Linked DNA regions of Rattus norvegicus. The protein of the gene in region 1 interacts with the protein of each later gene in a pairwise test. Links are inferred from orthologs where the notes say so. Each region holds a gene or a part of one and is shown on either strand. Other genes may lie near its edges. The genes, in order: Keap1 and Hsp90aa1.

Region 1 (4,276 bases):
TAAGGCAGGTGGATCTCTCTTAGTTCAAGGCCAGGCCAGTCTACAAATTGAGGTCCAGAACAGACAGGACTGTTACACAGAGAAACTCTGTCTCAAAAAACAAAAGTAAAAGAAAAACAAAAAAAGCCTCAGCTAGAGAAGTCTGCCAAAAAAAATAAAATCTAAGGTGCTGGAGAGATGACTCAGCAGTTGAGCGCACTACTGACTGCTCTTCCTGAGGACCAGAGTTCAAATCCCAGCACCCACGTGGCAGCTCACAACTGTCTGTAACTCCAAGACCTGACCCTTTCACATAGAAAAACATTCAGGCAAAACAATAATGCACACAAAATAAAGGTAAATGAATTTTTAAAAAAAGATTTAAAAACAAAAGTAAAACCAAGTCCTGGGGCTCTGCGTTCCATTCCAGTATCTCTTAAGTATACTGGGAGTCTGTGACTACAGTACTTGGGAGACTGACACAGGAATCAGGAACTTAAAACCATCCTCAGATACACAACCAGATTAGGGCCAGCCTGAGCTACATGAGGCCCTATGGAGAAAAGGAGGAAGAAAAAAAGAAATCTTCCTCCAGCCTTGAATGGCCGCTCCAGTCTCGGAGAGCACTATGCTGGCCCATCCCACTTCTTGTGACAACTGAGCCCAAACCCCAGGTCTTACTCACCTCCCCGAAGTGCATGTAGATATACTCCCGAGCACGCTGGTGCAGTTCCGTGCAGCCGATCTGCTCGGCGAAGTTGGCGATGCCGATGGCGTTGCTGGGGTCCAGCTGCTGCACGAGGAAGTCGCTGCAGGCTCGGACCACGCTGTCAATCTGGTACATGACTGCCCCGTTCATCACATGCAGCACACACTTCTCGCCCACGGAGATGGAGGCCGTGTAGGCGAACTCAATTAGCCTCTCCATGACCTTGGGGTGGATGCCTTCAATGGACACCACCTCCATGCCCTGCTCCCGAAGCCCGTTGGTGAACATAGCTTTAAAGACTGGGCTGGAGGAGGCCAGCACCACTTTGTGGGCCATGAATTGGGCAGCTGGGATGTCCTCATATTTGACCTGCAGGGTCACGTCACAGAGCTGCTGGCTCAGCCGAAGCTCGTTCATGATGCCAAAAGCCTGCTTGGTGTGATCCTCTAGTGTGTAACTGAAGGTTCGGTTACCATCCTGCGAGGGCGTCACCTCCGCCTTGCACTCCGTGGATGCATACATCACCGCGTCCCCTGCCCCCTCCGGGCACTTTGACCACAGGGGCAGGAACTGGCTGCTGCGGGGAGCCCCGCTAGGCTTGGGTTCGGGCTGCATGGGGTTCCTGATGACAAGATACAGTTCCACCACTAGCGATTAGGGGCCTGGAAGGAGGGAAGAGTACAGGGCTGGATTAGGCCAGACCCTGCCACATTTTTTTTTTGTTTGTTTGTTTGTTTCTTGTTTTCTTTTGAGACAGGGTCTTAGCCTAGGCTGGCTTCAAACTCACTATGTAAACAAGGCTGTTTGCTGTTTCCTCCCGTGTACTGGGACTACAGTTTGTGTCACCATATCTAGCCAAGCTTTAATTTTTTTTTTTTTTTTTAGACTAAGCAATGATTTCTAGAGCAGTTTTTGTCAAGCCAAGTGAACTGGACACACCCGGCTCCATTCAAACTGACTTCTTCTCAAATCACCGGCCGTTCCTTTTCCTGCTCAGAATCACCCAATACCTATCCCAGAGCCCAAGAGTGGAAACCCAGCTCCTCAATGGCCTGTAAAACTCCACACCCCCTTCTAGACCTCTTCACTCAGTTCCAGCCATGCTTCCCTTCCCTTCATCCGACATGTCAAATCCCTTTCTTCAACACCTCACCAAAATTTACAGAGCCTGCCATTTATACTTGCAACTGTTCTGAGCTCCAGGGACACAGCAGGAAGACAGAAAAGGCCTGAAAATAAAGCAAGGTCTGTATAGAAAACACTAGGCGAGCACCAAGGCCCTGGGCAGAGTGTGCAGCCTCTGGAACACCCACGGTGAGGGATTCAGGAGACCCTTGGAGACCTGGGGCCAGGACAGGAGTTATGCTTTCAAAGGAGATGTGGGGACACAGAGAGGGCCTGCAGCTGGCTCCCCAGGTTCTGGGGCTCAGCCTGGAGTCGCGTCCCCCAGTGTTATGTCTACTAGGTCACCATGGGGGGGACGACGATGAAATGCTCCAGGGGCCCCAGTAAGTGAGCGACTGTCACGCGTGACCACACTGCCGGAGCTCGGGCCTGGCATTGCGCAGAGGGCTGAGCAGCAGCCACCCGGTACCCGGTGCCTGCTCCAGCGGCCTCCCTAACGCTCGGAGGCGCAGCCCTGACGCCTGGAGAGCCCGCAGGGCCTGGTCCCGGGCCGCGGCCCGGAGCGGCGCACTCACCCCGCCATGGCCGCGCTCTGCCTCCGCCTCCGCCGCGCGGGTCACGGTGACTAAGCACAGCGCACCACCCTGTCACAATAAGAGTCCCGGGGCGCCGGCCGCGGGCGACCCCTACCCTCGACTCGCCTCGGCCACCACCCTACGCGGGTGCACGGGCTGGGCGCGGGTGCGCACTTGGAGGGGTCACGCGCTTCCCCCCACCGCGTGCACGTCCCCACGCGCGACCGCGGGCGGCGCCCGGAGCTGGCTCCCCACCGCATCCTCCGCGGGCGCTCGCTCACCTCCGTCCCACCCCCCCGGGTGTCTCTGTTGGTGCCACGCGTCCAATCCGCACCGCCGGGCCGCCACGCGCCGCGCTTCCGGGAGGAGCCGAGGGCAGCCAGGGGGCCTCGGATCGGGGCAGCGGTGCTGCGGGGTCCCGGGCGGCACGCGTGGGAGGAGCGGGAGGGCGGAAACAGGCGGCGGGCACGCAGAGGCGGTTCCAGCCCTTCCTGCAGGTGCCGGGCGGAGGGAGCAGGGCGTGGGTCAGGGCGGCCCTAGGAGCCTGCCTCCGGGTTAGGCTGTCCAGTACGCCTCTAGCTGAACCTGCCCCAGCGGACCCTCCCACACCCTACCCGGCCCAGCCAGACCTATGTACCTGGTTGAGATACAGATCTTCCTTTAAAATAACTTTTTAATGGTTTCTATTTCAATTCGCATTTTACTTTATGTGTGTGGGTGTTTTGCCTGCGTGTATGTCTGTGCCCCGTGGGCGTGCAGTGCCCCCTAAAGTTACAGGTTATCCACCCTGTGGAGAGGGGGAATTGAACTCTGGTCTTCTGCAAGAGCAACAGGTACTCTTAACTGCTGAGCCAGCACCCCAGCCTTATAACTTCTTTTTTGAGAATGGCCTCATTACATAGCCCTGGCTGGCCTCTGCCTCTCGCTCTGCCTCCTGCGTGCCGGGGTGAGGGGGAGTGGGGGGGTGGGGGTTTAAAGGCTGTGACACCACGCAGGGCTTTGTGTACATTAATTTATTTGTGTGTATGCTTGTGTGTAGAGGTCGGGGGATGACTGGCAGAAACTGATTCTCTTCCCCTATGTGGAGCCTGCAAGGTGCAACAGCAGCCCACTTTCCTCTCTCCTCTCTCTGTAGTCATTTTTTCATGAGGAGAGGTGTGGCATTCATCTGAGGGTGTTGGAGAGTTGGAATGCCCAGAATTGCCTTTCTTTGCATTTCTCATTATATATATATATATATATATATATATATATGATAAGAGATTCTTATTTGCTACAAAGGCATTTATGAGAGAAAATTATTTTCTTGACCTATAAGATTTGGCCAATTCTGGCAACTAAGTTCCATCCCTGTTTCTCACGTGGTAGTAAAAAACTTACTCCTCCAAGTTGTCCTCCAACCTCCACATGCACACATAAATTAATTTTGGAAAATAAAGTTATTATTGGTGCTGGAGAGATGGCTCAGTGATTACAGCACTGACAGCTCTTTCAGAGGACCCAGGTTCAATTCCCGGAACTGGTATTAGGGTCAAAATGAACGCCTATAACTCCAGTTACAGGGGATCCCATACCCTTTTCTGGCTTCCACAAGCACCACAACCATGAAGACAAAACACCCATACACATAAAATAAAGATAAATAAAAAAATTTAATATTATTTGACTGACTGGTGCAGACAAGATGTCATTTTTAGCCCAGGCTAGCTTTGAACTCTGTCTCCTGTCTCCATCTCTCCAATGGGATTACAAATGTGTATTCTGGGTTTTTTCTTTCAATTTATTTTTAATTTCATGTTCATTGCTGTTTTGCCTGCATGTATGTCTGTATAAGGTGCATACTGGATCCCTTGGAACGGGAGTTACAGATGGTTGTGAACTGCCATGT
Region 2 (4,598 bases), on another chromosome or scaffold:
TTCCTGATAACTTTCAGAATTTTGCTTTGTTGCAGCATTTCACGGGAAATATTTAGAGGGAGATCCTCAGAATCCACCACCCCTCTGATGAAATCTGTGGAAGAAAAGAACAAGACACCTACCTTAATCATTCCGAAAACTAAGGAATCATTTTTGGCTGGTCGAGAGGACTGAGCCCAGGGCCTCAAACAAGTTATGCAAAACCCCTGCCAATAGTGCTTATTCTTTCTATCCGTACTTACTCAGATACTCGGGGATTAACTCCTCACAGTTATCCATGATAAAAACTCTGCGAACATACAACTTGATGTTGTTCTTTTTCTTTCTGTTTTCAAATAGATCAAAAGGAGCGCGTCTTGGGACAAAAAGAAGAGCCCGGAATTCTAATTGTCCTTCAACAGAAAAATGCTGCAATAAAATGAAATACCTTTAACTGCCATGGACAAAAATGAATCAACTTTTCCACTGAGCTATGTTACACTTAGAAGCACTTCTATAGGTTGAGTGGGTGTAAAGGTTAACGTTAAGTCAACCCGAAAACCTGCTTTAAGTCACTCACCTTTACTGCCAAATGTTCTTCCCAGTCGTTGGTTAAGCTCTTGTAGAACTCTCCGTATTCTTCATTCGTAATGTCATCAGGATTTCTGGTCCAGATCGGCTTTGTTTTGTTGAGTTCTTCTTGATCAATGTACTTTTCCTTTATCTTCTTCTTTTTCTTCTTGTCACCATCCTTCTTCTCTTCTTCTTCTTCATCAGAACCAACATCTTCTATTTCAGGCTTGTCATCAGACTCCTTTTCTTCTTTTTCTTTCTCTTCCTCTTTCTCTTCCTTTTCTTCAGCCTCATCATCACTGACTTCCTTGTCACGTTCCTTCTCCACCTTAAAAAAAAGTCACTTCATTACTGTGTCACAAATTATTTAAGATCTAAGAAATAAATGTCCATAATTAAGAAACTCATCAGTGTTTTCTATAATTTCTCAACAGTCCTCCAGAGCACAGACCCAAACTTGTTTCAAACAGGCTTATTATTTACAGAATGCTAAGACCATGCTCAGTTGTCTCAGTTATCATATCAATTTACCCTGCAGTTGAAAGAAAAACTTACAAAGAGAGTAATGGGGTAGCCAATAAACTGAGAATGTTTCTTCACAATTTCTTTTATTCTCCTTTCCTCCAAATACTCAGTTTGGTCTTCTTTTAGATGCAAGATAACCTTTGTTCCACGACCCATTGGTTCACCTGAAAAAGAAAAGGTTATGGACTATGAATTCAAATGGCTAATATTCAAAGTCTTCTCCCAGTGCTTGTTGGAGCGGAGATAAAAACGTGCAGTGTTTCCTAGCAGCTAACTTTCCACACAAATGCAGTCTCCAGAGCTTTAACTTCCTTGCTACTGAGCAAATAGCCATACGTTTTCCACATTTCCTCCAACCACCCAGTCCTTGAAGCTCCCTTGAGATTAACAATTTTGTTGGAGGGCTTAGGACTAAGACTATCCCAGACTGCTCCAAACTCTTCAATTCTCCCAGTTAACCCTCTTAAACACTTGACCTAAAATAACCAGACACCCACTGCACTCTGAATGCACTCCTGGCCTCTGCCTACCTGTGTCTGTCCTCACAGTGAAGGATCCTCCAGCTGAGGACTCCCAGGCGTACTGCTCGTCATCATTATGCTTGGTGATGACAGTCACTTTCTCAGCAACCAAATACGCAGAGTAAAAACCAACACCAAACTGGCCAATCATAGAGATATCTGCACCAGCCTGCAAAGCCTCCATGAAGGCTTTGGTGCCTGACTTGGCAATAGTGCCAAGGTTATTGATCAAGTCAGCCTTGGTCATTCCAATGCCAGTATCCACAATAGTGAGGGTTCGGTCTTGCTTGTTGGGAATGAGATTAATGTGCAGCTCCTTCCCCGAGTCCAGTTTACTAGGGTCGGTCAAGCTCTCGTATCTGATCTTATCCAGAGCCTATTAAGAGAAGACAAACGTCACGCACACAGACAAGCCTCAAGGTGAAATTTTTACTGAAACCAACATCCATTCAATTCTTCAAGTGATATACTCACGTCTGAGGAGTTGGAAATGAGCTCCCTCAGAAAGATCTCTTTGTTCGAGTAGAAAGTGTTGATGATCAAGGACATTAACTGGGCAATTTCTGCCTGAAAGGCAAAGGTTTCGACCTCCTCTTCCTCCATTGGTTGGTCTTGGGTCTGGGTTTCCTCAGGCATCTGGGAACACGGGACGGTGTTAAAGCCTCACAGAATGTCTGCAGGCGTCCTAATGCCTACCTACCCCTTTCCTATAGAAATTCCTTAGGAACTCTATTTCGGTCTGAGACGGGGACGGAATAGAAGAGGCCGAGGGGGGGGGTGGATGACAAAGGGATGACCTCATTTCAGAATGCGGTAATTACGAGGCGCATGTGCGCGCCTCCGGGAGGACGTTCGGACCCAAGCGGCTCCACGCACGCCGTTCCTAACGGCCACCCTCCCCCCACAAGCCGCCGCTATGGCGCCTCCCTCCTCCGCCCGCGCCTCAGGAGCACCGGCGAGAGCCGGGGAGGCCTAGGCAAAGGCCAGAGCCGAACGTTCGCCTCGCCCCCGACCCTCCGCCGCCGCTCCTCCTCGGCGGCCATCACCGCATCCTGGGCCTGGGGCGTAGCGGCCGCCTGGGGCCTAGGGTCTGAAGGCATGGCCGCCCACCTCTGCGGGCTGAGGGAGCTCGGATGGCGGCCCCGACCCCGCCGCCGCGTCTACATCCGTCAACCTCTCTCCCCAATCCCCCACTAAGCCCCTCTGCGAGGACACTCACCTTGGCAGAATGAGCACGCACGAAACGTGACTAACCGCACCGGGACACTGAAGCAACTGGCGCGCCGCCCCCCGCGCCTGCCTTATATAGAGGCGGGCCCGCCCAGCGCGCGGCGCTTTTTCCAGAAGCCTCCCGAACCTTCCGGAAGAACCCTCCCCAACCGTCGCCTCGGCCGCGCGCCTGCGCCTGCGCACTGGACGGGCCCCGCCCCTCCACCAGGAGCGCGCAGAACCCGCGCGGAGAACGAACGCGAGCCCCTCCTCCACAGCCAGGTGCTCTGGACATGCGCAGTCCGGGATTCTCGGCGGGCCTGGCGCCTTCCCGGGCCGCGCGCGCGCCGCCTCTCGTGGAGCGCGGACAAGGTGACCAGCGCATGCGCTAGAGGCCGCCATGTGAGCACTCTAGGGCTCCTCTTCTCGGGGGGTGGGGGTGGGGTCTGCGAAAGGGATGTTCCCATGTGAGGCTGCGTTGCTGTGTGAACCTCAGTGCCCTCTGCGGCGCGTTAGGTGTCTGAGGCGAGAAGATCCCCCTGTCTTCGGGCTCCCATTGGGGACGTAGACTCCCGGCGGGACGCGAGTCTGACTCCTGGCTTCCACCTGATGGGTGGGGCGTATCCCGAGCCCGGGTTCTGCTTGTTGCGCGGTCTGGCGCGTGGTACCACTGTCTGAATTTTAGGGCTGTCCCCTCTGGAGCCTGTCCTGAAGCCTTACTGTGGGTAGTACACGGTGGATCTTCCAAATCTGTCCATAGTGCTTGGGGGTTTCTCTTTGACCAAAACCCATGACCCTCAAACTTGGGCGTTGTTAGGGTTTTAGTGTCAAATTTGTGCTACCTTAACTTATTGTAATTACGGGGGCCCAGAAAGATGGCTTCATCCAGTAGAGGTGCTTGGGTTTGATATCTGCCACCCAGATAGCGGGGGTTGGGAGTGGGGAGCTAACCCTCAGCGCCTGTGACACTCATGTGCACACACACACACACACACTCGCACACACACTCGCACAATGTGAAAATAAGTGTAAAGGGCTAAAGAGTCAGCTAGGAGCAGTTAGTGATACCAAACTCGCACGTTAAGGCAGCTCACAAGCACCAGTAACTACAGTCAGAAAATACAGTCCCCTCTGGCCTCTGCGGCACCAGGAGCACACATGGTGCACAGACACACGCAGTCAAAACGCTCATACACAACACACTACCCTGGTTTTTGAGGCACCTTCTTAGGGTGTCATGACGTTACTTTGGGCGATTAACGTGACCCAAAAGATAGTTTCCTTGTTTAATACAGGCTTTAATAGACTTCCGTTTGGCTTCCATTTCCCTTTCCTTTATGTTACTCCCACCCACTATTTCCGCATCTTTTCCTGCTGACGAAAACGATCACTCATTAAGATTCGAAAGAAAAGGGCTGGAGAGATGGCTCAGTGGTTAAAGCATAGACTGGACCCAGGTTCAATTCCCAATGACCACGTGGCAGCTCAAAACGGTAATTCTAATCTCTGACACCCTCACGCAAACATACATGCACGCAGGCAAAATACCAACGCACATAGAATAATAATTAAAAGTTTAGGAAGGAAGGAAGGAAGGAAGGAAGATTGTCCTCTGTGGACAAAAGCACAGCAGGCAATTCCTCAGGAAGAGGAAGAAAGTTAGCCCCCACCCCAGGGAGTGAGAGTGAGGCCCTTTTATAGCAGTTGAGGAAGGACCTCTGTCTGGCCTTGCTCTCTGGACTATCTGAGTGGCCTGCTAAGGAGAGCTGTTAAGTAGAAACAGTTTACTAT

Evidence for each region.
Region 2: the proteins of Keap1 (region 1) and Hsp90aa1 interact in a two-hybrid assay, tested with the Homo sapiens proteins (2 studies listed by BioGRID). The link is inferred for Rattus norvegicus from reciprocal best matches to the Homo sapiens genes KEAP1 and HSP90AA1.

Annotation. Positions count from the first base shown.
Region 1 is NC_086026.1:28,051,098-28,055,373, forward strand, and holds the start of Keap1 (kelch-like ECH-associated protein 1), read right to left. Parts: upstream 2,946-4,276; 5' UTR 2,670-2,945; intron 2,529-2,669; exon of another isoform or gene 2,389-2,528; intron 1,351-2,388; 5' UTR 1,304-1,350; coding exon 665-1,303; intron 1-664. UniProt on the Homo sapiens protein: Substrate-specific adapter of a BCR (BTB-CUL3-RBX1) E3 ubiquitin ligase complex that regulates the response to oxidative stress by targeting NFE2L2/NRF2 for ubiquitination.
Region 2 is NC_086024.1:135,526,266-135,530,863, forward strand, and holds the start of Hsp90aa1 (heat shock protein HSP 90-alpha), read right to left. Parts: upstream 2,876-4,598; 5' UTR 2,818-2,875; intron 2,235-2,817; coding exon 2,073-2,234; intron 1,975-2,072; coding exon 1,608-1,974; intron 1,242-1,607; coding exon 1,108-1,241; intron 881-1,107; coding exon 560-880; intron 409-559; coding exon 243-408; intron 95-242; coding exon 1-94. UniProt on the Homo sapiens protein: Molecular chaperone that promotes the maturation, structural maintenance and proper regulation of specific target proteins involved for instance in cell cycle control and signal transduction.